Linked DNA regions of Tamandua tetradactyla. The protein of the gene in region 1 purifies or fractionates together with the protein of each later gene. This does not show direct contact. Links are inferred from orthologs where the notes say so. Each region holds a gene or a part of one and is shown on either strand. Other genes may lie near its edges. The genes, in order: COPB1, COPG2, COPG1 and COPZ1.

The links.
Region 2: the proteins of COPB1 (region 1) and COPG2 purify together in Homo sapiens (affinity purification with western blotting; 4 studies listed by BioGRID and IntAct, with this or other methods). This does not show direct contact. The link is inferred for Tamandua tetradactyla from reciprocal best matches to the Homo sapiens genes COPB1 and COPG2.
Region 3: the proteins of COPB1 (region 1) and COPG1 fractionate together in Homo sapiens (co-fractionation; 11 studies listed by BioGRID and IntAct, counting the BioPlex papers as one, with this or other methods). This does not show direct contact. The link is inferred for Tamandua tetradactyla from reciprocal best matches to the Homo sapiens genes COPB1 and COPG1.
Region 4: the proteins of COPB1 (region 1) and COPZ1 fractionate together in Homo sapiens (co-fractionation; 8 studies listed by BioGRID and IntAct, with this or other methods). This does not show direct contact. The link is inferred for Tamandua tetradactyla from reciprocal best matches to the Homo sapiens genes COPB1 and COPZ1.

What each region holds. Positions count from the first base shown.
Region 1 is NC_135334.1:89,871,107-89,878,383, reverse strand, and holds the start of COPB1 (coatomer subunit beta), read left to right. Parts: upstream 1-4,261; 5' UTR 4,262-4,414; intron 4,415-5,145; 5' UTR 5,146-5,202; coding exon 5,203-5,293; intron 5,294-7,277. UniProt on the Homo sapiens protein: The coatomer is a cytosolic protein complex that binds to dilysine motifs and reversibly associates with Golgi non-clathrin-coated vesicles, which further mediate biosynthetic protein transport from the ER, via the Golgi up to the trans Golgi network.
Region 2 is NC_135327.1:172,420,632-172,427,945, forward strand, and holds the start of COPG2 (coatomer subunit gamma-2), read right to left. Parts: upstream 3,021-7,314; 5' UTR 2,930-3,020; coding exon 2,893-2,929; intron 1,727-2,892; coding exon 1,674-1,726; intron 1,115-1,673; coding exon 1,034-1,114; intron 1-1,033. Other genes in the region: TSGA13 (testis-specific gene 13 protein), read right to left, coding at 3,335-3,501, 6,133-6,260, 6,688-6,887. UniProt on the Homo sapiens protein: The coatomer is a cytosolic protein complex that binds to dilysine motifs and reversibly associates with Golgi non-clathrin-coated vesicles, which further mediate biosynthetic protein transport from the ER, via the Golgi up to the trans Golgi network.
Region 3 is NC_135335.1:31,965,146-31,972,821, forward strand, and holds the start of COPG1 (coatomer subunit gamma-1), read right to left. Parts: upstream 3,020-7,676; 5' UTR 2,894-3,019; coding exon 2,857-2,893; intron 1,885-2,856; coding exon 1,832-1,884; intron 1,391-1,831; coding exon 1,310-1,390; intron 1,053-1,309; coding exon 981-1,052; intron 487-980; coding exon 407-486; intron 1-406. UniProt on the Homo sapiens protein: The coatomer is a cytosolic protein complex that binds to dilysine motifs and reversibly associates with Golgi non-clathrin-coated vesicles, which further mediate biosynthetic protein transport from the ER, via the Golgi up to the trans Golgi network.
Region 4 is NC_135333.1:115,697,366-115,704,643, forward strand, and holds the start of COPZ1 (coatomer subunit zeta-1), read left to right. Parts: upstream 1-4,265; 5' UTR 4,266-4,361; coding exon 4,362-4,379; exon of another isoform or gene 4,380-5,007; intron 5,008-7,278. UniProt on the Homo sapiens protein: The coatomer is a cytosolic protein complex that binds to dilysine motifs and reversibly associates with Golgi non-clathrin-coated vesicles, which further mediate biosynthetic protein transport from the ER, via the Golgi up to the trans Golgi network.

The DNA.
Region 1 (7,277 bases):
CTTGATCTTTACCATCTATCTTTCTTTCTGATTTCATTTATGTCCCCAGCCCTCCTCCCTCTATCATTCTCACATGCAGCTTCACTCAGTGTTTTAACATAATTACATTACAGTTAGGTAATATTGTGCTGTCCATTTCTGAGTTTTTATATTCAGTCCTGTTGCACAATCTGTATCCCTTCAGCTCCAATTACCCAATATCTCACCCTATTTCTATCTCCTGATGGTCTCTATTACCAAGGAAATATTCCAAGTTTATTCACTAATGTCAATTCATATCAGTGAGACCATACAGTATTTGTCCTTTTCTTTCTGGCTAATCACACTCAGCATAATGTCCTTAAGGTCCATTCATGTTGTTACATACTTCATAACTTTATTCTGTCTTAAAGCTGCATAATATTCCATCTTATGTAAATGTCACAGTTTGTTTAGTCAACTGTGTGTTGATGGACATTTTGGCTGTTTCCATCTCTTGGTAATTGTTAATAATGCTGCTATAAACATTGGTGTGTAAATGTCCATTTGTGTCCTTGCCTCGTGTCCTTTGAGTAGAGACAGCATATAGGTTGGTCCTGTTTTTTAATCCATTCTGTCAGACTATGTCTTTTGATGGGAGAGTTTAATCCATTAACATTCAGTGTTATTACTGCATGGGTGGTACTTTCTTCTACTATTTTGCCTTCTGGGTTTGATATGTCATATCTAATTTTCCTTCTTTTTACCTTTACTCATAGTCTTCCTTTCTACACTCTTCTCCACATCTCTCTCTTCTGTCTTTGCATCTGTCTCTAGTGTTCCCTTTAGTATTTCTTGCAGAGCTGGTCTCTTGGTAACAAATTCTCTCAGTGATTTTTTGTCTGAAAATGTTTTAATTTCTCCCTCATTTTTGAAGGACAATTTTGCTGGATATAGAATTCTTGGTTGGCAGTTTTTCTCTTTTAATAATTTAAATATATTATCCCACTGCCTTCTCGCCTCCATGGTTTCTGCTGAGAGATCTGCGCATAGTCTTATTGGGCTTCCCTTGTATGTGATGGCTTGCTTTTCTCTTGCTGCTTTCAAGATCCTCTCTTTCTCTTTGACCTCTGACATTCTGATTATTAAATATCTTGGAGTATGTCTATTTGGATCTATTCTCTTTGGGGTACGCTGCACTTCTTGGATCTGTAATTTTAAGCCTTTCATAAGAGTTGGGAAATTTTCAGTGATTATTTCCTCCATTAGTTTTTTTCCTCCTTTTCCCTTCTCTTCTCCTTCTGGGACACCCATAACACATATATTCTTGCGCTTCATATTGTCTTTCAATTCCCTGAGTCCCTGCTCATATTTTTTCATTTTTTTCCCTATAGCTTCTGTTTCTTGTCATATTTCAGATGTTCCGTCCTCCAGTTTAGAAACCCTATGTTCTGTCTCTCGAAATCTACCATTGTAGGTTTCCATTGTTTTTTTCATCTCTTCTACTGTGTCTTTCATTCCCATAAGTTCTGTGATTTGTTTTCTCAGACTTTCAGTTTCTTCTTTTTGTTCTTTCCTTGCCTTCTTTATATCCTCCCTCAGTTCATTGATTCGGTTTTTGATGAGGTTTTCCATGTCTGTTCGTACATTCTGAATTAATTGTTTCAGCTCCTGTATGTCATTTGAATTGTTGGTTTGTTCCTTTGACTGGGCCATATCTTCAATTTTCCTAGTGTGATTTGTTATTTTTTGCTGGTGTCTAGGCATTTAATTACCTTAATCAGTTTATTCTGGAGATTGCTTTCACTTCTTTTATCTAGGGTTTTCTTGCTGGATGAATTTGTTGTCTGTTCTTTGACATTCCGTTCAGCTTTATCTGGACCTTTAGCTTAAGTTTTGTTTAACAGAGGAGAATTTTTCAGTTCTTGTTTTCTTGTTTCTTGCCCTGCTTGTGTGGTGCCTTCCCCCCACACACACTTAGGAGGGTCTACTTGGATATTATATACCCCAGCCAGATTTTCCCAGACCAAACTGACCTCCTATCAGGAGGAAAGAGTCACCTGCGTCAGTTTTCCCTGAGGGTGAGACCCAGCAGGTTGAAAGACTTTCCTGTGAAGTCTCTGGACTCTGTTTTTCTTATCCTGCCCTGTGTGTGGCGCTTGTCTGATTGCAGGCCCCACCAGCATAAGATGATGCAGTACCTTTAACTTTGGCACATTCTCCCTGCTGATGGCGTGGTGGAGACAGAGGAGAGGTTGTAGGCTGGTTTTAATGGCTTCACATTACCGAGCCCTGGTGTCTGAATTCCTTGATGGATGGATTCCACCTGAGCTGGACTTCACCCTTCCTCTGGGGAAGGCACAGCCTCCAGACAAGCCCCCAAAAGAGCTCACTTCTGCCTATGCCTTGGGCAGTTGCAGCCTGAAAAGGCCTATCACTGTATCCAGAGGCAGTCAAGCCTTTGTAGATACACAGCCACAAAAACCTGTTTCCTTCCTTTTTTTCCCCCCTCCCCTTTTTCTGTCAGTACTCCCCCTTTGGCACCGGGGCAAAAATGAGCAACCTCCACTTTGATCAGGTTCACCTAAGCTGGGGGCCTATTTTTAGTAGTCAGAATTTGTTAATTATTTTCACAATTGGCGTTTGATTGTGCCCAGTCCCTGCTGCTGGTAAAGTCCTTTCCTTTCCCCTCTGGGAAGCGGCCTGTGGGGGAGGGGCGCTGGCCACCGCAGCTTTGGGAACTCACGGTTCTGGGGGGTACTCGCAGCTGGTCCAGCTGGTCCAGACTGGGGTACGCTGTGTGTTTGGTCACTGACGTGGCCCCAGGAACTGTTCTGTACTGTTTCTGCTTATTTAGTAGTTGTTCTGGAGGACGAACTAAAACGTGCACGTTGTTAAAGCCGCCATCTTGACCTGGAAGGTGGCCTTGATTCTTGAAGAAGATTGTATAACTATATAGCATTTACAATATGACTGCGTGATTATGAAAACCTTGTGTCTGATGCTCCTTTTAATCAGGGTATGGACAGATGAGTAAAACAATAAGGACAAAAATAAATATGGGGAGGGAATGGGTAAAAAAATTGGTTAGATTGAGATACTAGTGGTCAATGAGAGGGAGGGTAAGTGGTATGGGATGTATGATTTTTTTTCCTTTTTATTTCTTTTTCTGGAGTGAAGTAAATGTTCAAAAATGATCATGGTGATGAATACACAACTATGGTATGATACTGTGAACCACTGATTGTATACTTTGGATGTTCTAGTTTGCTAGCTGCTGAAATGCAATATACCAGAAATGGAATGGCTTTTAAAAAGGGGAATGTAATAAATTGGTAGTTTACAGTTCTAAGGCCAAGAAAATGTCTCAATTAAAGCAAACTTATAGAAATGTCCAATCAAAGGCATCCAGGAAAAGATATCTTGGTTCAGGATTTCTCTCTCAAGTGAGAAGGCACATGGTGAACGCAGTCAGAGTTTCTCTCTCATCTGGAAAGGCACATGGTAAACATAGTCAGGGTTCCTCTCTCACCTACAAGGGCACATAGCGAACTCAGTGTTTCCTTGCATCCACAAGGATTTGCTCAATTCTTCAAATATTTGGTTATTAATAATCGGCCAGGAAACCTTCTTTTGTGGGGGTAGGGGATCACAGACAGGCAAAAAGAGATTGTTTAATTGTATCTGTAGCAATTAGTTTTGTGGGGAAGATAAAACACTTTTAAAACAGTTACTGTCGATTCCCTTTGACCATAAAATAATTTTAATTTCCTGGATGCTCAGAATCACAAACGGAAGCATTACTAAATAAAGAGCAGAAATCATACCGGTGCGACTCGGACTTTGATATTTAAGCTACTCTCGCCGAACTGCAAAGAAGGCGAGATCAAACAACTGAAGATGTTAGGAACTGAAAAAGATCTAGCAGATAATACAGCGTTCCTTATTACAAATACAGAAATTACCTTCCCAAACAGTAATCAATTACTTTCTTAATTCGTGGGTGAACTAGAAAACAATCCCGGGCTTCCAGCTCTCAGTCCAGTGCTTCCTCTGGACCCAACAGCCATAAAGTAAGTCTCCCCTCTCTACGCGTTTCCTCCCCACGGCTGTTCTAGTTCCTGGAAAAGGGAACGATTTCTAAGTGGCGTGTGAGGAACCACAGCGCTGACTTCAGCGCTTGGCCTGCAGGGAAAACTTTATGTGTTTCTACTTTCCTTTGCGGCTAAAACCAACAGCGGACCGGAGAAGTAAACGATATAATTGGCGGCGCGCAACCGCAGAACGGAGACGGCATGGCCTCTCTGACTTGCCGTAGACACTAGATAGCTGCAGGTCTCGGTCGTTTTCCCCTCCCCTTCCACGTCAGCCTGGGACTCTAGGCCCGCTGCAGCCGCTGTTTGGAGCCGGAATAGACCGTCCTGCCGTTGTCCGAGCCGCTGCCCCTCGGAGCCAGGTAGCGGGCCACTAGCCCCCAATCCCAGAGGCATGGCGGGCAACGTAGAGTCTGTGGAACTAGCTTTCTAGCTGAGAGATGCGAAGGGGGTGACTAGGCCGCTGGTGTCGGGGCCTGGCGAAAGGGAACAGGGGGGCTGGGGAGTTCTCGGCCCGAAGCCCCACACCGGCCTGCATGCTGGCCAGGGGTCGTCTCCCTTCCAGGATCCCTGGATTCGCCCTTTCAGGCCCGTACTGGCATTACGGGAGGAAACCGGGCTGGGGATGGGGTGGGGGGCGTGCAGCGCACCGATTGAGGGACTGACTGACGGACGCAGAATTGAGAGCCCAATGGACGGGATAAAAGCGCTTTAAGATTTTGGCAAAGTGTTCATGCAAAGGGTCTCATCAACTTGAGCAGTTCGGATTGTATGTTATGTTAAAGATTTGTGGGGTGGAGCTGAGGGCTGTCACTGTTTTGTGGACTTTAATTGTATAGTACAGCATTCTCAAACCCTGGGCGGGGTACGAGGATGCGATAGGGGATAAATAATATCCCTTAACCTGGGGCTAACTTGTTTTATATTACATTATGATTTATTTTCATAGAGACCCAATAGAGATTGACCCTCCCCTCCTAATATTTTCAAACCATTATGCCCAAGCGAATGAACTTTAGACAGTAAAGGTCACAGTAGTTACTGGTTTGTGTGTGCTTAACATGTAATGATATCTTGTATTTATTTTTTCTAGATTTTCTGGCGTCTGTCAACCTTAAATCTTTTATTGGGTTGATTATAATCGGAAACCATGACGGCTGCTGAGAACGTGTGCTATACGTTAATTAACGTGCCTATGGATTCAGAGCCACCATCGGAAATTAGCTTAAAAAACGATCTAGGTAAACTTTAATAATATTTTGAAAACGAAACGGTAAAAAGCTAAAATATGAAAACAAAAACTCATTAGGATTTCAACTTCCACTGGAAAGACTTACTTTTTGTCTAAATATTTCTTTCTAGGGTCTCTTCAGTAGACCTTCTGTCTTATTAAAGTGAAAACTTGTTACCTTTAGACTTGAGATATTGGGCTTTGGAAGTAGAACATTTCAATTTGCTTAGTAAAACTAAATGAAAATGTTATCGTTTAGTTGTTAGGTATCCTTCTGCATAATGGTTTGTGAAGTTAAATGTGTTATGCTTAAATGAACTGAGAGTTCTCTGTGGGTAGCAGATTGAGGATGTGTATTTGAATGTCTTACTTTCTTTGGGAAGTTAACTTCATATTATGTGGATTATAAAATGAAAAGGACTTTGTTCTTAGGTGAACAAATGAAGTCAACACAGGAATAAAAATGTGTTTTCCGGAAAGGTTTGAGTTCTTCATTTTGAAAACATTTTTTGCAAAGATAAAAACAAGAAAAAATTTAACTTGAATTTTGAAACTATATATTGTGTGTTTGTGACTGTTGAAAAAACACCTCTTAGAAAGTAATGCACTTTGCACTTTCCAAAGTAATGAGCCTTGTTATTTGAACTATTACCATAACTTTAACTTAACCTGTAACTAATGTTTAAAATAGAGTAGCGTGAAATTAATATTTCAGAACTTAAAAGTATCTTTCAGAAGGCAGTTTGCAGTTTGGAAAGAAACTTAACATTTTACTTGCCTGTTCCCCACCTCTTAATCAGCAGTAATGGAATATCTCCTGATTTTTGGGTACTTTGTATTAGATTTCCGTTGGAATCAATTATTAGAGAAGGGAAAAGCAACTCTCTTTTATGACATTTAAACTGATAACATTTTATGCAAAGGCCACGTATATAGTCGTCTTTTTTTTTTTTTAACATTCAGGTAAGATAGTAGAATGGAATGTAAACTAGTGAATAAATTCTCAATACTGTTCTTCTTCTTATAATTTAAAAGTTCATATTAGACTTCAAAAATGCTTATGGTTGTAGCTGGGAAGTTAAAGAAGGAACTCAGTCCTTAACTGGAACAATACTTTTTCTTTAATTCCAGCTGTCTAAACTACCTTCCCCCCACCAATAAATAAACAAGTAGTCTCAAATTTTGTGTATTTTTTTTTTTGCTCATCTCAGAATAATTGAGATGAGAAAAAGTTTAAGAGCTATTTTTCAGTTTTAAGTAACCAGATATATGTATATTTTTTTGGCATGGGCAGTCTCCGGCAATCAAACCCGGATCTCTGGCATAGCAGGCGAGAATACTGCCACTGAGCCACCGCCCAGCAGATAGTTTTTGTTAGGTGAAATATTGAAGTGCTTTAACTATTTTCTTTTCTTTCCCTTCAGAGAGTAGTTGTGAGGTCCAATAACTGTACATTCCTTGGAGTAGGAAGTATTTAGTGTATTTTGGTGAATTCGATTAGTACTTGAGATTTTCCATTTTTTGATAGTGTTCACAGAAAGAAAAAGTTTTGGAAATTTTGAAGATGTGGAAAGAAGCATCCTTCCTTTCACCTCAATTTGAATTGTTGGGGATAAAATGGAAAGTGGGGTGAGGGTTTGAAATATAAGTGGTGTCAATTTTTTATTTTTTGGCAAATTGACCATTAAATTTATTTTTAAAACTTCTAAATTGTTTTAGTGTTAAAAAATTTTTATGCTTTTTGAAATTTGTGTCCTTTATGTCATCAAATATTTAGAAAATTATCTCTCTCTGTTTTTTTTTAAAAATTATTTAGAAAGGGAGCTTTGGAACAAAGAGAGGGAAAGCCTGTGTAAGCTCATTGAATATGACTTTAACTACTTGGAACTTTGCCTTATTTTTCTTATTTTCTTAGTTATTGCTTTCGCCACTGTTAGTTCTCCTGATACTTTGTTTTTGTCATTCTCACTGACTTAAAAATGGAAAATTTGCCT
Region 2 (7,314 bases), on another chromosome or scaffold:
TGATGTCAGTAAACCGATATATTTTATTTAAAAGCATGTGTTTATTTCTCAGTCTGCATTTGTAAACAGCAAACATTTATTAAATCTCTGGATGATGTCTTCAGTCATGATTCAGAGTAAAGATAAAATATTCACAATTCAAACTGGAAACCAGTCTTCTTAGTACAAATGTAAACCACTCAAGGTAAGTGGGTGTGCATGAATCTAAGAAACAAAATCACATTTCTAACTCCCTAGATATGTCATGAGATTTTATTAGCCTTAGGCAAAAAAGAAAAACATAAGAAAAATACAATTAATGACAATAATAGCAAGAAGAATCCAAATTCCATGAGAGCATATTTTGTCTGCTCCATGCTCAGTACCTAGAACAGTGCATAGGACATAGCAGGTATGCAATAAACATTTGCTGAATGACAGAATAAAAATTATTTCTGAATGCTTACTATGTGCTGAACTCTCAGTTCTTACATTTATAATTTCATTTAATCATTACAACTTCATAAAACAGGTATTGGCATGATCCCCATTTACAGAAGAGAAAATAAAAGGACAGTTAAGTTAGTTGCCCAGAATCATACTGCTAGTTAACAATTAAGTAGGAATAGTAAATACAAATCAAAATATTAAAATCAAATCAATGATTAAAATAAAAGCTATGGTCTAATCTACAAAAAAAAGAGTAAAGATATAAGTCTGGAATTTGTCTAAGACTTTGCACTTTATTTTTAGAGGTACATAAGGTACATGTTCTAACATTAACTAATACTTGTTAAATTCAAATCAATAAGCATTTATTGAGAACCTACTATATAGTTAGCTAGCTTAGTAGCTCACGAATACAAAACAAGTATATGTGATAGTCCCTGTCCTCGAGACATTTTACATATTAGTATGTTAATCAAATACTGTACTTTTAAAACTTAAATGAATTTTTAAAAAATAAATAATTATACTTTCCAGAAAGTAGTTCACTGCATGGCACATATTTTTACTCCAAGACACAAATCTGAGGAAAATGAAAATAATTTACCTGGTTGAGTAAGTAAAGAATCTTAGTAAGAATATGCAAACATCTTCTGGGATTGATCGGAGTTTCATTGAATATACGAGCCTATAAAACAAACATAAAAAACCAGCTTTAATAAAAGAGATTATATATAAAATATCACAATGTCCAAATAATGTCAATGGCTTACAGTTTTCAATTTATTATATTTTATTAAAATAAATTATTAGATAAATTATTAGATGTGATCCTCATTTTCCCATTTTATACCTTCTAATTCATTCTCTTAGGTCCACTACTTAATTTTGTGAGCTTTATCTCTTAAATAAGAATCACAAGGTTTATCTACATCATATGGCTACAAAAAGCTTAACACCTATAACTTCCTTTAATAACCTTGCACCAAACATCTCTCCTGACATTTTATTTAAAATTCCCAATGCATAGCAGAGCCTGCATGCCCGTGCATTTCTATAAGCTCTAGACTCTTCTATGGCAAGTAACCCCTCTTCCTTTTCCTTCAAGTCTCTAGTCTCTGAACTCAGTTATATTCCCTAATTCCATCTTATTTTGGATATCCTGATCACAACATCCCAGGGGTTATACGCCCACAATTCTAAGATAGAATATGTAAGAAAGAGCACAATGTAGTTCTAAGCCATACCTCCTGTAAGACAGCACTCTTCTCCAGATGCTGAAAAGGATTGGAGCTACTACCTACATTACAAAGAAAAAAAAAAGCCTTTAACTGTCCTACACAAACTTATTTACATTCAACAGAAGGTTATCTAGTACTTGGGAAATCGCACCTAAGTGAGGTGGCCACTTGGATATGGCAGTGGTCATTATAATATGAATACAAATTGGATAAAATTATTTTGATTCTTGCTTTAAGATATTGGACTTCTCTTTTGCAGCGTCTTCTTTTCCTCCCCTCTTTTTACATGAATGATACAAATATATGTCATCTCCACATAATATTAAGGATATTATAGTAAAGCACTTTGGTCTTCCTAAAGGCAAGCACTATTTTTTGTGCTTATAAAATTTACTGAGAGATAGAAATGAATAATCTAAGAGAGAATCACACAAACTTAAACCCTGGAAGGGATCATGAGGTTTACTGAGCCCTCCATCGTGTTTTGTGAGTGTGGCTATCAAGCACTGCATACTGGTTTTGGGATGACTTGGCATCTTCCCCACTTCCACTGGATCAAAGGCGGGTGGGTGTAAGTCCAAACTCACTTCTGGGAGTCAGAGCATGAAGTGAGCTATGTACCATGGGACTGTCTTGCCCCCTGGGAAGTAGACAGAGAGAATGTCCCAGGGAAGACTATAAGGTATGAAGCGCAACAAACTTCACATACACACTGTCCAGTCAATCCCAAACCCCAAAACGGGGCTCCCACTAACACCAGGAGCACCCACGGCCACTCAAAAGCGCACGCTCACACCTTCAGCCACCTGCCATGGGCCCGCCCCCTCTCCAGGCAACCCACGCCCCCGGAGCAGGGGGGAGGAGGCGCGGAGGGGCTACGCCGCCGACGGTTCGGCGCCCGGGGACAGGGCACCTGGGGCGGGAGGGGCCGCTGCGAACCCCCAAGCGGTGCACGGGTAGCAGCGCACGAGGTTGCGCCCGAGTGCCTGGGTCGCGAGCGCGCGACTCGGCCGCCCAAGGGGAGGCTCTGGGGCCCGGGGGAGGGGCTACTGGCAGGGTCCCCCCGCTGGAGCGTAGGGGAGGGGCTGGGCTCAAACTCCGGCCCCTCTCACACCGGTACCCGCGCCCCGCCCCCAGGTCCGCAGTCCCAAAAAGCAGGTGGCGGGAGGCGGAGAAAGGGGCCCTCCCGCAGGTGAGGGTGGCCGTAAAAAAGGCCAGCGCGTACCAGACTCCTCGTCCTTCTTGTCGAATTTTTTAATCATCTTGGACGACTTCCCAGCGCCCAGACCCACCACCACCGTTCAGGGCGCCGCAGCCGGCGAGCGGAAGAGGCTGCAGGAAGGCCGACCCCGGGCTCTCGAGCCTGTTGGGCTGCTTTCCCGTCACTCCGGTAGAAGGTCCGCCCTCCTACCCCGGCTGTCAGCGGCGGCTCTTCTCCCCGTTCCCCCGCGGCCACGCCCTCTGCTCCTTCCCTACCCGGGCGGAGGCGGTGCGAGGCGCTGGCGTTGCCGCCAGAGCCTGAGAGGTCGGAACGAGGTGCTTGCCAGCCCACTTTTACGCCCGGAGCAGGCAGGAATGTGATTTTATTTGATTGGCATGTACTCGATAGCAGACTTTGCCGGCCCCCTCAGTCTCCGGAGTGGGAGGTGGGAGGCTTGAAGAGTTTTTCACTTAACCACAGTGGCTGTTTTTATAATCCACTGCTGGACCCTTCCATTGAGGAAGGTGCTGTTTCCTGGCACAGTTCTAGTGGGCTTCTCTCCCAGGAGCGATGAAAGGGTTAGTGGTTCCCAAATCACCTTGGAAGTCGGTATTTCACTCACTGGCTTGGAAACTGCAATAAAGCACATGGCACCGTTAGGTGAAGGTGTGCTTCCGGAGGGTCTAGAGGGAATGTGAAGCGTGAAGAGACTTGGAAGGGCCAGAAAGCTGGTTTTTACTCTAAGCGAGCGGTAGATTTTGGACCTTTCCCAGTCTTTGTGAGTTTGGATTCCTAGCCCTCATCAAAACCTGATTTAAACATACTGCCAGTTTAGACTTCTTCTATTCCTCCCCTTTCAAATTATTCCATCTTCAACCATATTGCCGCGTAACTCTTAATTGGTTAACTTGCATTCACCTGTATATTCATGATCCACTGAGAATTTTACTAAAGTGTATGTTGGTTTCCAGTTCTTTGAGAGTGTAACTAAGAAACTTTTCCTGTCTTTAACTTCAATGGCATGACTTTTTATCCAGATTCTCTTTCAATTTTTGTGGATTCTTAGGAAGCTTTCACTGTGAGATTTTCTTTCTCCAGTCCCTCTCCACTTTTGTATGCATTATCTTTTTTTTTTTTTCACATGGTCAGGCACTGGGAAACGAATCCAGGTCTATGGCATGGCAGGCGAGAACTCAGGCGAGAACTCTGTCAGTAAGCCACCATAGCCTGCCCTGCATTATCTTTTAAATATCCCTTGAATCTGTTCCTTATCTCTACCACTATCATTATCACCTTAGTACAGATCCTCATCATCTATCTCTTGGACAACGTCCTCTCCAGCCTTTCTGGCCCCATCTAAACCATTCTCTATGTGTTCTTTAGTTGCATGCCTGGTAAACATGGAACATTATTAGGGGCAGGGATATGCTAGCAATCTCCTTTTCTAGAAGTAGAGACATTGGTCTCCACAAAGATTGTTTAGGAAAAGCACTATAATGGGTCCTTTAGGTATATGAGTGGAACAAGTATCCATTCATTTTTTCTTTAGGGTAACTGTAAAATTGCTATAAATCTAGTAGATGCTGCAGATTGAAATATTAAGTGTTCTATTTAGAATGTAAATTGGGTATGTCCGTAATAAGATTGTGTGCTTGCAAAAGTACATTCTTTCTCCCAAATATGGATTTAAGCTGAACTATTGATATCCTACATATAGTATCATCTAAGATTTAACTCATATTTTACCAAATGTGCTATCAACTAATATGTTTTTTCTTATCTAGCTTATGAAATCCAGATCATATTTTCCATGTAGAGTTTCCCTTGAAGGAAGTAGATATTCCCACTGTCATTTATTCTGGGGCTGAAAATAAAGAAACTATGGAGAAAGAGAGAATCTCTTTCTCTTTCTTGGGCAAAGGGTCTCAGGGACCTAGGCAGAGAGCGTCCACAAGCCAGGAGATTCCCAAGAACAAATAATATGCTGAAAGCATACTGGGAAATATTAAGGAACTGAGGTTAGGTTTGAGACCAAGCATAACGGTTGCCCCTTTAAGTGCAAGATAAATCGCTCACTACTGTTCTGTAACTTTCCCCTATACCCATGAAGTTTTGTGTAACAGAACAGCTTGGTTTTAGCTGTATAGGGGAGTTAAAAGAGGCAATGGGTGGGGTTGGAGTGCAGTGACAGATAGGCTCAGGAGGAGCAGAGAAACCTGAAGAAGCCAGTTAAGCAATGGTATGCTATGACTCAGACCTCTAGAACAGTGCTATTTAGCCTGAGAATAGCAGGAAAAGGTGTTAGGCAATCACTAGGATGGTTCTGAGGAACAAGTATACTTTAGGGAGTCTCAGAAATTACTTGAGAGACCCAGTAGGAGAAAATGAACCTTATTTTGAAGCCATAAGTTGATGAAGTTTAGGGACCCATCGGTTATACTTCTAATAAATGTGTATTCAGTACTCGGAAATCCTTCAGTGGGTTTCAATCGCCTACTGGATAAAACTCAAGCCTTTACTTATGTAATATACAAGGCCCTTCATCATCTGGTTTATCTGTCTCACGTATTGAAAATGCAATTATTGGTGCTTGGCAAGTATCCAACACCTAGTAGCTACCACCACCACCACCACCACCACCATTAACATTAATTTAATAATAATATGTGAGGAGCATTCTCTTTTCACCCTTTCTCACACAACCTTATTCCAAACCCTTTCTACCCTATGCCTTCATGCTACCTGGAAAAGACTGTGGCTCTCCAAGACTCGTACACTTATCCTTTGACCCTTCTAGTTCAGTTTCCCCCAAAGTGTAATATGCGTGGATGGTTTTAGGTGATACCTAGATAAACATTTTAAGGTATTATGAATTTGATTTAATGTGTGTCAAGAAAATTATATAATTAGTATATCAAATCTGTGATGTCAAAGATATGGTTTTGCTTAGGAAAAGAATCAAGAAAAAAAATCCTCTTAAAAAAATACTAATAATGGGACACATAATGCATTGATAAGGCAAAGCAAGCCTATCAAAATGATACATAATGTGGTTTGGTAAACACTTAAGTTCTTGAAACTTAAGAATATAAACAGAGTCCAAAGCCTAGCACCACTTGAGCCTCCATCAGGTCCTTGCTACAAGGGAAAACTAGTCTTCAGTATCACCATGCGATGATTTTTCTACATCTCCAGTCCCCATAGGTTCTACCTCCAGCCCACATCTCAAGTCAGAAAGCCATGCTTTACAAGAGAGGAACTTACCGTCTTTCCTCATATCCCTTTTAGAGACTGGAGCAAAGGTGAGCTGAGGGTACATATTTTTCTGTTTCCTCAAAGCATAGACCTTTGAATACTTCCCTTCACTCTTGAAATCATTGTCAGTGGAAAACCTTAACAAAGAAAGTTTGTTTAGTAGATCCTAGGGCAAGTTAATGGAACTAGTCACTTGAAAGTCAGCCACATTTTAAAAAATTCTGTGAGATAAGAAGGGACAATGACTAGAAGGTATTGATTGGAAGAGAGTTGGAGTATTGTTCAGTGGCAAGAGACGCTTCTGGAACCTAGCACTGTAAACCTTTGGATAAACTCTAGAACCTCCTCCCTTTTCTCCAAACTAAGTATAGTCTGCTCTGGTTTGCATTACTCTCTTTTATCAGAACATAAATGAGGTTGAGGCTCATGTAGGAAGCGATGTCTTATTGTTACACAGTCATACATATTCCCTACTTTCAAAAAGTGTTGAATGTACTGAAGAGAGTAACACAAATGAGGAAAAGATAGGAAAGAAAATGAGTACAAGAAGAACCAGGGTTTCACCTAAACCACTGTTCTCGCTTGGATGCAGAATTGTCCAACAGTGTCACCGGGAAGGTTGGTTTCAGCTCAGGTCTTGACTTTTTCTTTTGAGGCATCAGGGGCAGACAGAAGTTTTCAATGGGTTTGTGCTGATAATGACTTTCCTGCAGCAGAGGGAAGAACTGCAAGTGAGGGAGTTCCTGGACAAAGTTCCAATTCCCCTAAAATGATGCAGTAAAACCTGTCAGATAGTGAAGTGGAAACTCAGAAACTCATACGAGAAAAAGCCTCTTCTTGAGTGGCATAGTCCTGTCGGTTTCATTGTTAAATAACTTGTCCAAAGCGTGGCCAGTTTTCTAAGTAACTGACTGAACTTGCCCACTGGCCCTTTGTAGTGAATGGTATAGGAAGTTACCCTGTTTTTGAGGATTCAATTAATGAAAAATCAAATATTTGGTAATTAATTGGGCAATAGATCCATGGGGCTGTACATTCATTTCTCAGAATCAGCTGCCTCGTCACCATGCCACTCTCTGCCTGCAGTGAAAAGGCCATGGAATGGGATGTTTTTGTTTTGTTTTGCTATTTTATTAGAGAAGCTGTGGTTTTACAGAAAAATCATGCACAAAATACAGTGTTCCCATATAC
Region 3 (7,676 bases), on another chromosome or scaffold:
AGGGAGCCTGCCCTGCCCCGCCTCAGTTACAGGCCTGCTCCCCTGAACCCACACCCTTCTTCTACTCCTCTCTAGGTCCAAGGTTATCACGCTTGCCTGGACTACTATAAACATCTCCCAACCCATGTTCTCCTGCTATTCTTGCTTCTTCTGGCTCTGTGTACTTCAAAGGGAGGAAGAGGTTTGTGTCCAAGTTAAAGCCAGATAATTAAAAGGGAAACAGCATACCCTGCAGGCCACCATGGGGTTGGCACCAGTAACTGGAGGATGAGGCAGACAGAATGGGCAAGAGTGCCAGATGACTATGCCAACCAAAAGTCTCATACTCTGGTACACATAAGAGGAAAAATGTCCTCTGTGTCCATGGAACCCATCGGAAGAACCACCCACAGCACCAACAACTTGCCTGCTGGTGACAATGATGACATCCTCTGCGATGCAAGACATTTCCTTGATAGTCAGATAGCACATCCGACGGAGTGTGGGCTGTGAGAGATGAGAAAAGCCCTATCATCCCTGGCTCACCATGAGGGCCAGAGTTAGGAAAAAAAAAACCCTGATCTCTCAAAGGCAGCCCACAGTGCCTGGCAAAGCCAGCTTTCCTTGGTCCTCCCATCATCTTTTTTTTTTTTTTTTTAATTTATTTTGTATTATCAAACCAAAACAACATACAAACATGAACATTCTTAACATACATTCTTAGTATGATATACAATCAATGGCTCATAATATCATCACATAGCAGTATATTCATTACCATGATCATTTTTCAGAACATTTGTATCACTTCAGAAAAAGAAATAAAAAGAAAAAAAAAAAACTCACATATACCATGCCCCTTACCCCTCCCTCTAATTGACCACTAGTATTTCCATCTACTCAACAGATTTTAACCTTTATTCCTCCTATTTTTTTTTCTATTCCCACCACCTTCTTATAAGCTGCTCCCCCTCAAGAAAAACTGGGGCCAGGGTACTTACATCATTGGACTGAAAGAGCTTGGTCATAGCAAAGAAGGCTTCGGTTGCTTCAGTGGTGCCCAGATGCTCCCCCTGTGGTAAAAAAGAAAGAAGCCTTAGCCTAGGAAGGAGGGGCCAGATGGCTTTTTTTTCGTCACATCACCCCATGCCAGCTCTTTGGACCCCGCAGAGGTGCCATCAAAGGCAACACAACAGGATTGGATGCTCCGGGAGACCCAAAGCAGGACCAAAAGCTGTCAAATCACCTAAGTGTGTGATAATTCATATATCCCTCTCCCAAACCTCCCCCAGCACCATTTTTTTTTGCACTCCCAGGTTCACCCTATTACCTGGTTTATGAGGTAAAGGATCTTGGTGAGGATGTGGGCACATTTTCGAGGGTTGATGGGAGTTTCATTAAATACACGTGCCTGAGAAGAAGTGACCAAGACTATTATCTTCTATCCCTTCCACTGACAATTCTCAAGCACATTCAAGGTTCTGGCAGGTCCTAAGGTAAATCAATACACCTGTCTTGACAAGCTTATTTTCATAAAGGAAGAGGTTTTTCCCTCAATCCATCTAAAATCAACTTCTGAAATCTTCCCTAAATATTAGTTAGAGATGGGCCAACCTACTAACCAGCAAATACTTAGTAATCACTTGTTAACTCAAAGAAGAAACAACCAATATCATCAACAAAAACGTAGGCTTAATGAATTCTCTTTGAGAACAAAAGTTTTTCTGCTTTTCCAGGCACTGGTTTTCTCCCTCATAGTTCTCTAAATCAGCTGTCTGAATGTGTTCATATTTTCATCTTCTCAACCATGAACATTTATGATGTAAGATAAAGGGGAACAAATGACACTTGCCTCCTGAAGTACTGTACTCTTCTCAAGGTGTTGGAATGGGTTGGAGCCTCCACCTACAATCAGTAATGGAGAAGAATGAATACTGGTTCTATTTCTGAATTTAAAACTCTCAGAGACAGAGGAAAGGGAAAGATTTCTTTACTGGCTACCTGGTAAACTTCAAAGTTCTCATGAATGCAATTAAGGCTCTACAATCTGTCCATAGATCCTACTACTCTGCTACAAGGGGAATCCACTCTATCCCAAACCACTTACAGTCATCTAGCAGCCCTGCTGGTACAGCCCTTCTTCTGTGCCTCTCATGGTGTATGTCACTTTTTGCATTCATTTATGCAGCCCCGTACTATTTGAGTCCCTACTACGTGCCAGGGGCTAACCGTCCCATTACTAGGTTTCCTTAATAGCAGATGTCATCTCAGTAATTAATCATGTGTATGATTATCTGATTGATGTTCTTCTCCTCTACTAGACCTGTGACTGTCTTGTTTATTCCATTCTAATGTGTCCAGCCCAGGGGACAACTGTCTACCTTGTTCTAGGACTGTATCAGGACTGTACAAAGCGTTGCATACAGTAAGCGCTCAATATGTTTGTTGAACAAATGAATGAATGGAATTAGGGTTCACAGCACACTGACTCCGCTGACCATGCCCTAGCTTGGACAAGCATCAACGCAGCGCCGGCAAATTCAGAGAGATTGGACGAAGAAAGTAGCAAGGGAGTAGCCAGCCCGACTCTCTCCTCTGACAGATGGGAAAACTGAGGCCCAGAGAAGAGCGTGACTTGTCCAAGGTCACCCGGCGAGTAGCGGTCCGAGCTTACGAGGGGAAGGGGTCTCTTGAAGGATGCTCGGTCCCCGAGGCCTGCCACCGTCCAGTCTTGGATCTTCGCACAAGCCCCAACCCCTCACTGGGCCTCGGCCTCTAGCTCAGGTCAGAGGCACCTTAAAGAGGATTCCCAGGGAGGGTCCTGGGGGCTTGCGTGGAGGTCCGGCCTCCCTCAAACCCAGGCCTGGGGTCCCTCACCCGACTCCTCGTCCTTCTTGTCGAATTTCTTCAGCATGGCGATGCCGACGGGGGCGCAACGCAGCAATAAATACTACGCGGGCCTGGCAGGGCTCGGAGCAGCGGTCCCGCGGTTGTTCCACAGGGGCCACTTCCGGGGTTCGGTCCAGCCACGTCGCCTTGCGCTCTGCGCAGGCGCAAACCGTGCTCTGCGCCTGCGCACATCCCGGCCGCCGCAGCCGAGGCCGGCATTAACCCTGTCCTTACTAGAGGCTAGAGGCCCAAGAGGCGGAGACTCGGAGGGTGGGCGGGCGCCCCATCTCTGCGTCATTTCTCACTTTCAATGCTCCTTCCTGCTTGATTCTTCTCCTTAGCTCAAGTCACCACCTGACATACTATATTTACACTTTATTGCTTTCACTGTCTTTTGGTCACCGCAGCGAATAATAGTAAGTGCGCAACGAGCGCTTGTTGAATGTGTGCTGTTGCTATTATAATCATATCCACCTAATCCCGATCACACCTGCACCCGGTGCAAACTGTTTTGTACTTTATTAACTTTCAGAGATTTAACTAAGCCTCAGCACGAGACTTCAGCGTCACTTTGATTGCTAGTACTCACCCAGAGCCAACTACCCGCGCCGCCTAGCGCTGTGGGCGAGAAGGGATGGAAAAGGGAAAATGACACATCACCCGGGGTTCACCTTTCTGGAAACCTGCTCGGGACAGTACGTGCCAACGTCCCAAATCGAAGCTAGGGTAAGGACAGTGAGTGCCAACGTGCCAAATTGCATTCGCTGCGGCGAGTTGAGTCGGCATGGTCCAGCGATGCGACGCGTGCCACCAGCTAGCCTCGGGAGGGGGCAGCGCGCGGAGAGGCAGGAGACCGGGCAAAGGTCCGCAGGCGAAGAAATGTGGGGGTGGGGGATCGACAGCAAAGGGGGTGTGCTGGAGTGATGGAGGCGGGGACAGCCTTTTGGATTGGGCGGTGCTGATGCTGGGGGACTCGGAGGCTGGGGGGTTGGGGAGCGGGCGTGCACGTTTCGCGGGAAAGGGAGATTGTCAAGAGTTAAATGATGTTCAAAACCTGTAACCTGTAACCCCACCCCTAGCCCAAAAAAAGGTAATGAGGTTGTGCACTGCAGCAGTTTGCGGCAAGATACCCCACCCTAACTGTCCGTAAGTAAGGAAAGTATGGAACGCTACGCTCAACGGATGAAACATTATGCATCTTTTTAAAAAAAAATTATTTATTAATTTAAAAAAATAAAGAAGCAAAAATAAAACAACATACATAATCAGTAATTCACAATATCATCACTTAGTTGCATATTCATTATTTCTTAGAACATTTGCATTAATTCAGAAAAATAAATAAAAAGACAATAGAAAAAGAAATAAAAGGAACACAGGAAAGAAAAAAAAAAGATTATACCTACCATACCCCTTACCCCTTGCTTTCATTGATCACTAGCATTTAAACTAAATTTACTTTAGCATTTGTTCTCCCTATTATTTATTTTTATTCCATATGTTCTACTCCTTTGTTGACAAGGTAGATAAAAGGAGCATCAGACACAAGGTTTTCACAGTTACACAGTCACATTGCGAAAGCTATATCATTATACAATCATCTTCAAGAAACATAACTACTGGAACACAGCTCTACATTTTCAGGCAGTTCCCTCCAGCCTCTCCATTGCACCTTAACTAAAAAGGTGATATCTGTTTAATGCGTAAGAATAACCTCCAGGATAACCTCTCGACTCTGCTTGGAATCTCTCAGCCATTGACACTTTATTTTGTCTCATTTTGCTCATCCCCTTTCCGTCCGGAAGGTTTTCTCAATCCCTTGATGCTGATTCCCAGCTCATTCCAGGATCTCTGTCCCACGTTGCCAGGAAGGTCCACACCCCTGGGAGTCATGTCCCACTTAGAGAGGGAGAGGGCAGTGAGTTTGCTTGTCGTGTTGGCTGAGAGAGAGACTGCCTACTGATTTTTGACTCTTCTGTTCCTATGGTCATATGAGACACCTTTATAAATCTCATATTTACAGATGTCTCCTCTTGGTTCTCTTTTTCTAGGGAGCCCTGACTAATAAAGCTTGGTACGGGGAGTGATTCTTGAAAAACAGAATCTTAAAAATGGATTTTAACAATTGGTTTTCTGTTAGGCACAAATAATCAAGATGGCACTGACAGTCTATGGGGTGAGCTGGCAAGAGAGATACGCAAAATATCACCATTAGATTCTGTTAATTGTACACTTATGCAAGGAAAGGCTCAGGGTGAGAGTGTTTTTGACACCTTTTCAGAGTTTTGTCGAATTAAGAGCTATGATGTTGGTTGGTTGTTATTTGATATACTGGATACGTTGGTGAGCGAAAGGGATGAGCTGAAGGCTTCAAATTTGAAACCTAAGTCCCATATGAACTATGTAAAAGTTTCTATGTGTGCCCTAAAAGAAAATCTTATTTCCTGTGGTCACAAGCTTGACATCTCTGAAAACCAGACACAGAGCTTCATTGTTAGAGTAGCAGATTTATAACATAAAGTAAAATTTCAACCTTGCAGGGTGTCTGCCCTTAAAGGCTTTGATTGGGAAAGAATGGGATTCTGAAACGTGGTATGGGGATATATGGCTTGATAAAATGATGGTGATGGGGAGATGGGATCCCTGGAATCTGCTGAGCCTTTGCTAGATAGACCTGCAATGGACTGCCTTGAGGAAACAGCTTCCCAGTTTCCGATCTGCCCAGAGGAGTCTGCCATCCAATCTCCACTTAAAGGGATTAACCTTTCAGTGCCTGCTAACCCTGTAACCACCTCCCCTAGGGAAATAGCTCTCACTTCTCTGTCTGGAGCAATTGGTCCCGTTTCACCAGAAGAAACTATAGTGGAATGCCCTGAGGTGGTTGGCTTGAAAGATACTTCTACATCTTTTCATGACCCACCCCAACCATCTTCCTTTTCTTCAAGACCTATAACTAGACTGAAGTCCCAACAGGCCCTAAAAGGTGAGGTACAAAGTGTGACCATGAGGAAGTAAGCTATCTCCAAAGGAGCTGCATGAGTTTTTTAATCTATATAGATAGAAATTCAGGGGAATATGTGTGGGAATGGCTATTAAGGGTGTGGGATAATGATGGAAGGAATATAAAGTTGTATGAAGCTGAATTAATTGATATGGGCCCACTAAGCAGAGATTCTACATTCAGTATTGTAGCTCTAGGGGTTAGAAGGGGCATTAACAGTTTGTTTGGATGGTTGAGTGAAACATGGATCCAAAGGTGGCCAATATTACCTGAGGTCGAAATGCCAGAACTGCCCTGATATAATATAGATGAGGTGATCCAGAGGCTAGAGAGATTGGAATTTAGAGTGGATTTATCATGGAAGACCTGCTCACACACTCCAGGAATGTCCAGAGGACACACCTTTCACCAGACCTTGAGAATAAATCCGTCATCTCTGTAGTCACCCTTCTCTGTAGTTCAGATACTACTGTGGGAACTGCTGTCACTGAGCTGGCATCCTTAAACACCATGCGGATGATCAGATCCTGAGTTGGCAGAAGCCAGGTGGCAACAGTTAATCGCCAAAGACAAGGTGAATGTGGCTATCAGAACGGACAGCAGACTCAAGGCAGCAGTCAGAATAATCTGACTCGCAGAGACGTGTGGCGTTGGCTGGAAGATCATGGAATAACTAGAAGTAAAATAGATGGGCTGTCTACTAAATTCTTATTTGAGCTATAAAAGCAAAATTCTAAGTCAAATGAACAGAAGTCTAACTTGGATTACAAAAACAGTGAGTCACGGTCGTTTTAATCAATTCCCAAATTTGAGACAGTTTACAGACCCAGAGCTCCTTGAAGGAGGGGAGGGCCAGGTACCCTTGGGGAAGCACCATTTTACACTGCCCCAAATTTGTATAGTTAACCTTCCTCTCAGCCTTCCCCAAGGAGACCTAAGACCTTTTACCAGGGTCATTGTGCACTGGGGAAAAGGATATGATCAACTATGTCGGGGACTATTAGACACTGACTCAGAAGTGACACTAGTTCCAGGAGAGCCAAAATGTCACTCAGGTCCAGGCTTATGGAGGTCAGGTCATCGATGGAGTTTTAGCTCAGGTCCACCTCCCAGTGGGTCCATTGGGCCCCTGGACCCATTCTGTAGTTATTTCTCCAGTTCCAGAATGCATAATTGGAATTGACGTACTCAGCAATTGGTAGAATTCCCACATAGGTTCTCTGTCTTGTGGAATGAGGGCTATTATGGTAGGAAAGGCCAAGTGGAAGCCACTAGAATTGCCCCTACCTAGCAAAATAGTAAATCAGAAGCAGTACCGGATTCCTGGAGGAATTGAAGAAACTGGTGCCTCTCTTAAGGACTTGAAGGATGCAGGGATGGTGATTCTCACCACATCCTCATTCAACTCTCCTATTTGGCCTGTGCAGAAAACAGGTGGGTCATGGAGGATGACAGTTGATTATTTTAAACTTAACCATGTGGTGACTGCAATTACAGCTACTGTTCCAGATGTAGTATCATTGCTTGAGCAAATCAACACATTGCCTGGTACCTGGTATGCAGCTGTTGGTCTGGCAAACGCTTTTTTTTACTCAATAACTGTCAGTAAGGACCACCAAAAAACAGTTTGCATTCAGGTGACAAGGCCAGCAGTATGCACTCACTGTCCTACCTCAGGGGTATATCAACTCTCCAGCCCTATGTCGTAATCTTTGTCCGCAGGGACCTTGATCTTTTCTCCCTCCCACAAGACATCACACTGGTCCATTATATGGATGCTATCATGTTGATTGGACCTAGTGAGCAA
Region 4 (7,278 bases), on another chromosome or scaffold:
ATCCATCTATAGAGACAAGGTCTGAATTGATTAAGTAGGATTTCAGAACCAAGGTACAATTCAATGGATTGGGTTTCTGTTCCAGCCAAGTTAATATAATTGATTCTGTTTATATGCACCTCAGCTATTTTATTATAATTGATTGGGTTAGAGCTTGATTGTGTTATGGCTCCAGCCATTTTACTTTAAGAGATTAGGCGAGGTAGAGCTTTGGCTATGTTGATGAAATTACGCTTTCCTGAAACTACATCAAGACTTTTGCTACTTCTACAAACAGTTGATTCTATCCATCACACTTTGACTTCTAATTTCACTTGTGACACATAATCTTTTGGGGAGTTTTTTTTTACTGTCACTGTTTTGTGTGCACTTGAACATAAAGAACTGTGGTGTCTCCCTAGTTAGTCTTTATGCCTTTCACTTGTCCTCTTCTCATCCTACCTGCACACGTGCAGTCAAATTAATGATCTTAAAATTGCTTCCATAAACTCATGTTTCTGCTCAGAAGTGTTCAATTATGTTCAGTTATTTATAAAATAATAAGTAAATACTAAGCATTTAACAGTTTACACACATTTTCTCAAACATTATCTCATTTAATCCTCCCAACTTTATCCCCATTTTATGATAGTCCCTTTTTCATTTATTAGTTTTAAATTGCTTGTTGTAACAAAGTCCTACAGGAACAACATATATAAAGAAAATCTATTGAATAATCCACTCTTTCCATCTCATCCTCTCAGGGTAACCTATGTTAATATTTTTCTTCCATATTTTCCTATATTTTCTCTTTGTCTGGAATGCTCTTCCCCCAAATATCCACATGGCTCATTCTCTAACTTTTTTTAGGTGTCTTATCAAATGTACCCTTCTTAGTAAGGTCTTCTGGGACCATCTTATTGAACCTCTTGCCTCTCCTTCACATCTCACTGTGAAAGGTACCACTCCATATTGTGCAACATAATGGGATCACTCCCGGTTTTCCTTTTTAGTTTTAATTTTTTTCCATAAACCTTATCACCACCTAACTCTTATATAGGTTACTTATTTCTTCGGTTTATTCTCTGCTTCCGCTGCCTAACTACAATGCAAATGCTACAAGGGCAGAGGTACCTGATTGTTTTGTTCACTGCTATAACCCCAGTGCCCAAAGCCAATGCCTGGCACATGGCTGGCATTTGATAAACATTTATTGAAAACATATACAAAGATATTTATGATAGAGTCTTAAAGTTTTTAAATGAAAAAAATAATCAGTTACCCCAACTATTTTGATCAATAGGATTGTCTAGACCACTTAGGTTTTTTTTTTAATTTTTTTGTTAGAGAATTTGTAGGTTTACAGGAAAATAATGCATAAAACACAAAGTTCCCACATACCACCCTATTATTAATACCATGCATTAGTATTGCGACAAATTGTAGCATTTGCTACAATTCATGCAATAACATTTTTATAACTCTTCAATTAACTATAGCCTATTGTTTACAATAGGGTTCACCATGCCATGTTGTCCTATGTGGTTTTTTTTTTCATTTTTATTCTAGTAATATATATAAAACCTAAAATTTCCCCTTTTAACCACGTTCAAATACAGAATTCAATGACGTTAATGATATTCACAATGTCGTGCTGCCATCACCACCATCCATTACCAAAATTTCCATCAACCAAGTTCTGGGGTACCTGATCAAGTTAGCTGGAATACTATGAATGCAGCATCTCAGGTAAAGATTCAGGTGGATATAAGGAAGAAGTGGGCTGAAGTAAACATCACTCAGGAAGAAGGGAGAGGAAACTGAGGTAGGAGAAAATGTGACAAAGGGAAGATTTTCTTTCACATATAACTCCCTCAACTTACCACTATTCATAGACCCTTTGTTAAAAGAGTTCTCTAAGGGATGTGAGGGTAGCTCAGTGGTAGAATTCTCGCCTGCCATGCGGGAGGCCCCATTCGATTCCTGGCCCATGCACTCCCCAAACAAATAAGCAAACAAACAAAAAACCAAACAAAAGCAAAAATTCAACAAATGGTGGTGCAATGAACGGATACTCATATGGAAAAAGAATGAAATGTGACCCCTGCCTTACAGCACACAAATTAAAAAAAGAGTTTCCTATCATCTCTTACTCCTTTACCTCCAAGTAAGCTCCTTTCTAAATAGGTGTAGGAAGGTATCTAAAAATTTCTAAAAACTAGTATCTACCTCATCTGATACCTTATCTGTTAACTGGTTAACTGCCTACAATAAAAAATATCTTATTAAAAACTACCTGGATTTTAAGATTTTTACCTAGATACTCCCCTCTCTGCTCCTTATCACCATCTTTCTGTCCAAACCCCAATATTCAAGCCTAAGCATCCCTGATTGGGCTCATAGTTGGTCAACTGTTTCCCTTCCCATTTTATATGTAGTATCTAATCTGAGTTGTCCCAAAACCTTGGTGGAAAGATCGTCAAGTTGGAGTCTTCTGCTGTGAAATTATTTAGACTGTGCCTCTCCATACTCTTTTCTCAAAGAGGTTGCAGGTTGAGTTACAGATTACAACAAAGAGAGCTCAATTCCAACCTCATCAACTGAAGCCTTGGGGGTGGATCTATGTTTCCTTAAACTATAAGCGTCCAGTTTGAGACTCTGAAGTTCACAGATAATGGACCTTCATGTTTTGTGTCCAGGGCTTAGCATCTCTGCAATTTTAAAGGGACAAGGTGATAAATCAAGTCAGCTCAATCAGGTATAAAAGAAGTAATTTCTCACACGCCAGTCCCTCAATTCCAGATGACTTTCTCTGCCATTTTTCAATTTATATTTGAGACCTGGATTGTTGAGCTTTGTCACTTGGGACTTCATCAGAAAATCATTTACCTTCCTCTTGTTTTTGTTTTTGTTTTTGTTTTTTTATTAGAGAAGTTTTGCTTTACAGAAAAATCATGCAGAAAATACAGGGTTCCTCTATAACCCACTCACGCACATAGCTTTCCTTATTATAAACATTTTGCATTAGTGTGGTACCTTTGTTACAATTGATGAAACATTATTATACTTATAACTATAGACCACAGTTTACATTAATTCACTCTTTGTGTTGTATAGTCCTATGGTTTTTAAAAATTGTTATTCTAGTAACATTTATACAACGTAAAATTTCTCCTTTTTAACCACATTCAAATACATAATTCAGCGATGTTATTGTGCTACCATCACCAGCATCTATTACCAAAACTTTTCCATTGTTTATTTTACTTCTCTCTTACGCCCTCTGACTCTACTCTGAAACTATGAAAAAAAAACTCTTGGGTTGGTTTGGACCTTTTCTTGGAGGGATCCTAAAGACAAAGTTGTCTGAGATGGGAAATATAAATTCCTGTAGGGATAATATAAGGCAATGAGAGGTGCCGAACTACGGGGGTCAGGCACCAAGGAACCAAGGGTTGGGGAAAGCAAACTTGATCAAAACCCTGCCCCATTGTGAAATCTCTGCACTTAGTAAACTTCTCTTTTCTCGTTTTGCAACGGCTTGTCCCTACTGGAAAACCGCAGACACTGCTCCCTGTACCCTCCCTCCCTTGTCCTGGTCCTTTACAAACCCTTTACCCCTCCTATTTTTCTCCTTTCAGGCGTCTAAAGCTCTAACGTCTCATTTCACATCTGACCAAAGGAAACTGTTAATAGAGAAATTCACTGGCTTCTTTTCCTTCCCTGGGTCCTGCAAAGCCTGGGACTCCAACTTAGAGAGATCTTTACCGTGGCGGCCTTGGTTCTTCTAGTTAAAACGCGAGGCATCTAGTGTAGTGGCTCCACTTTGTGGTTGTACAGACTTCCTTTGAGGATGCTTAAATAGCTGACCAAGCCTGGAGGGTGTCAGGCATAGCTGCTCCAGCAACCCGAAGTAACATGGACCTAGGGTGGGCTCTTGGTATAGTGATTAGGATAGGATTCTGTCACCGGCTGCCAGTGCTAAGGGCCAAAAGGTCATAGCGCCCCCTACAGGCAGTGCTGATTAAAGTTACTTAGGCGAGTCGACGGTATCACGTACGCTCTACTCTACCAATCGAAAATTAATAATCGCTTCCTCTGTTCCCCATGGAAACAACCCCGCCCCTGTCACTCTATGCCTCATTCCCTGGAGCGAATTTGGCTTTTTATTGAGTATTCAAGCTGACAATCAAATATCTGAGTTTTCTGGTTGGATATCTTACTTCCGTTGAGAAAGCTAGTACATTGATTGGTCAGTAAGGCAATTCTGGCGTCTGGTGTCCAATGACCCTTATCCTAGGGGGCTGCTTAATGGAGACGTAGAGCCAATCAGCGGCTGCGTTCTTTTTGCGGCTCCACGTCGGCACCAGCTGCGGGGCAAGATGGAGGCGCTGATTTTGGTAGGAGTCGGAGGGGCAGGCGAGATGCTGAGATGTCCATAGGGGCCGGAGTCGGGTTCAGCTCGACTGGAGGGAGGAGAGGGGGCAATTCTGGGTAATCCTCGGGGACCGGAGGTTCTGCTGGCCCTCGGAATAAGCGTGTGGCCTAGCACAGGAGCTAAAGCCTCGGACCGGAGTAGGAAGCCCTGCCGGGGAGAAAGAGGGTCATAGAGTCGGTGAAAAGTTGAAGGGAGCACATGGAGTCCGAGGATACATAGAATTATAAGCGTGCAGGGTTGGGGGCTTCTTTAGATTTTCCCTAATTCTTTACATTGTGGGTGATCTCCTGATCTGAGTTTCCTTAAATATCTAAATTCGCCCCAAATTGTAGGATTAGAGTTTTCTCATCACAAGTTGTGAGTTTGATGGCTATGAGTTTGACATTCCTTGCCGTATTCCTTCAAAAACCGTTTTTCTCCCTACTTCGGTTTCCCGTTAATTCCTGTTATGTCTGTCTGTCTTGATGAAGAGTAAGTTTATTCCACTGAAGTTCTGGAATAGCTCATAGAGTTAGTTTGGATTGTAGAATATTTTTTCCAGATTCTTTATTCTGTTCTCCTTTTTCCCTCCTCATTTAGACTTTTGGAATTCTTACTGTAGGATCTGCGATGCTGACTCTCTCCCTGGATACATGAGAATTGTAGTGGTTAAAGGGGCATGTTAGCCCGTTTTTAATTCATAACATCCATTTTAGTTGTTCAAACCAGTAAAATACCTATTACTCCTTTTGACTGGACCTAAGCATTTCTCTCAAAAATATCCTGTCTTCAATTTGGAAATATATATATATGAATATGAATTTATGATATGATATGAATTTAGTTCCTGGCCTCCTTCCTTGAGTTGAACTCTAGAAAGCTTTCCGGGAGACTTTTCTTTTCCTCCGACTTTATGCACATCCGTATCCAGATCCTCATCATCACGTAGAAGAGACTAACAGGTTTCAGTTTTCCCCTCCTTCAAAACTGGCAAAGGTGGAGATAATTCCTAGATTGTTCAAATCTAGGTAGAAAGCTTAAAATCCAGGTACTTTTAAATATATTTTTAGTAGCAGGCAGTTAACCAGTATCCTTAACCAATTAACAGATAGGATAGATAGATGCTAGGGAATTGGTTTCTTTGGAAGTTTTTAGAAATTTGTAGATACCTTCCTTACATGTTTAGAGGGACCCTGCTTGGCAGTAAAGGAGCAAGAGAAATGATAGTTAGGGTGCCCTTTTAGCAAAGGGTTTATGAATAGTGGTGAATTGAGGGAGTTATATGTGAAAGTCTTCCCTTTGTCACATTTTCTCACACCTCAGTTTCCTCTCCCTTCTTCCTAAGGGACATTTGTTCCAACTCACTTCTTCCTTATATCCACTTGAATCTGTACCTAAGATGCTGCATTCATGGTGTTAGAGCTAACTTGATCAGGTACCCCAGAACTTTGCTTTAAAAATCATACTGAAGTAATCAATGCCTAATGAGTAGGGAGTTTTTGTGTAGGTTGATGGACATTTTGGTAATGGATGGTGGTGATCGCAGCATGACATGGTGAATGTGACTATTACCACTGAAGTGTGTACTTGAAAGTGCTTAAAATGGGAAATTTTATGTTGTATATATGTTACCATAGTAATAATATAATCCTCATGCTTTTTTTTTTATCCTGAGGGACCAATGTAATTATGTTAAATGGGAAATCAAAGTACGAGAAAACTTTGGTTCAACAGGATAAAGATCTAAGGTGAGATACAGTGAGTCCACATTCTTTTCACAGTGAAGATGATGACCTAAGAATTGTGCTTAAGGAAGCACAATATCAAAACTAGGATTAGATTGGATTTATTCAACCTCTAAGATCACATCCCTCTATGATGTTACCAAGATTCTCTCACCATGGGCTTTCTCCGTCCTCTGTATGCAAAATTGTCCTTTCAAACATCACCAACAGATATTAATCCCTGTACTGGTCTCCAGAGATTTTAAGATATTAAATTAGTATTATCTTTCCTTTGGGTTAACTCTTTTCAACATTTTTTGCTCTTTACATACAGTTATTTGGGGCTCTCAATTAAGAATTTAAACACTTTTCTTCACTTTTCCAGCTTTCTCAACTGGAGTTCCATGAGCCTTAATGCCCTAAGGCATCCATTGTAATGAATCAGTCTCTATCCACTGCATCCAGAATGCCATTCATTATGAACCCTCCATTGGGGGAAGTGAGAAAATGGTCACTTAAATAATTTTCTGTGTTATGTAGTTCTGATGAGGAACTTTTGTTGAGAATCAGGTAATATTTCCTAAATCTCTATTCTCTCCTCATTATTGTTACACACTGGTCTACCAAAATTAGCTCCATTTGATTGAGAATCAAACTTCCTTACAGTACCTTTTTTAAATCTCATCCTCTCTTCTGTCTATTCTCAGCCATATCTCCTGATTCTTAGGTCATCATCTTCATTGTGAAAACAATGTAGACTCTCTGTATCTCACCTTAGATCTTTATCCTGTTGAACCAAAGTTTACTGTACCAGCTGAGTGTTTAACAGGCCACTCCCTAGAGAGGGCAAACTCCTTTCAGAGTAACTTTCCTTTTCCTCCTTTCACATTTCTGTTTCCTGGTTTGGCTGGACCTCTGGGGAAATCTGATCAGAAAATATTCTTCTGTCCTCACTCACCTTGACATAGCACACAGTTGTAGAAGAAGTAAAGAGTTGAGAAGAAGGAAAGCGTAAACTAGAGGTGATCAAGTGGAACTATTGATCAAAGTTGGCTCTGATTATGAGAATTTCTTAATCCCAATAGGTTCCCTTCACTTAGGTATGTTAGAATGGGTCACATTTCTTTCCTGAATTAAGTAATCCAGCTCTAGCTTTCA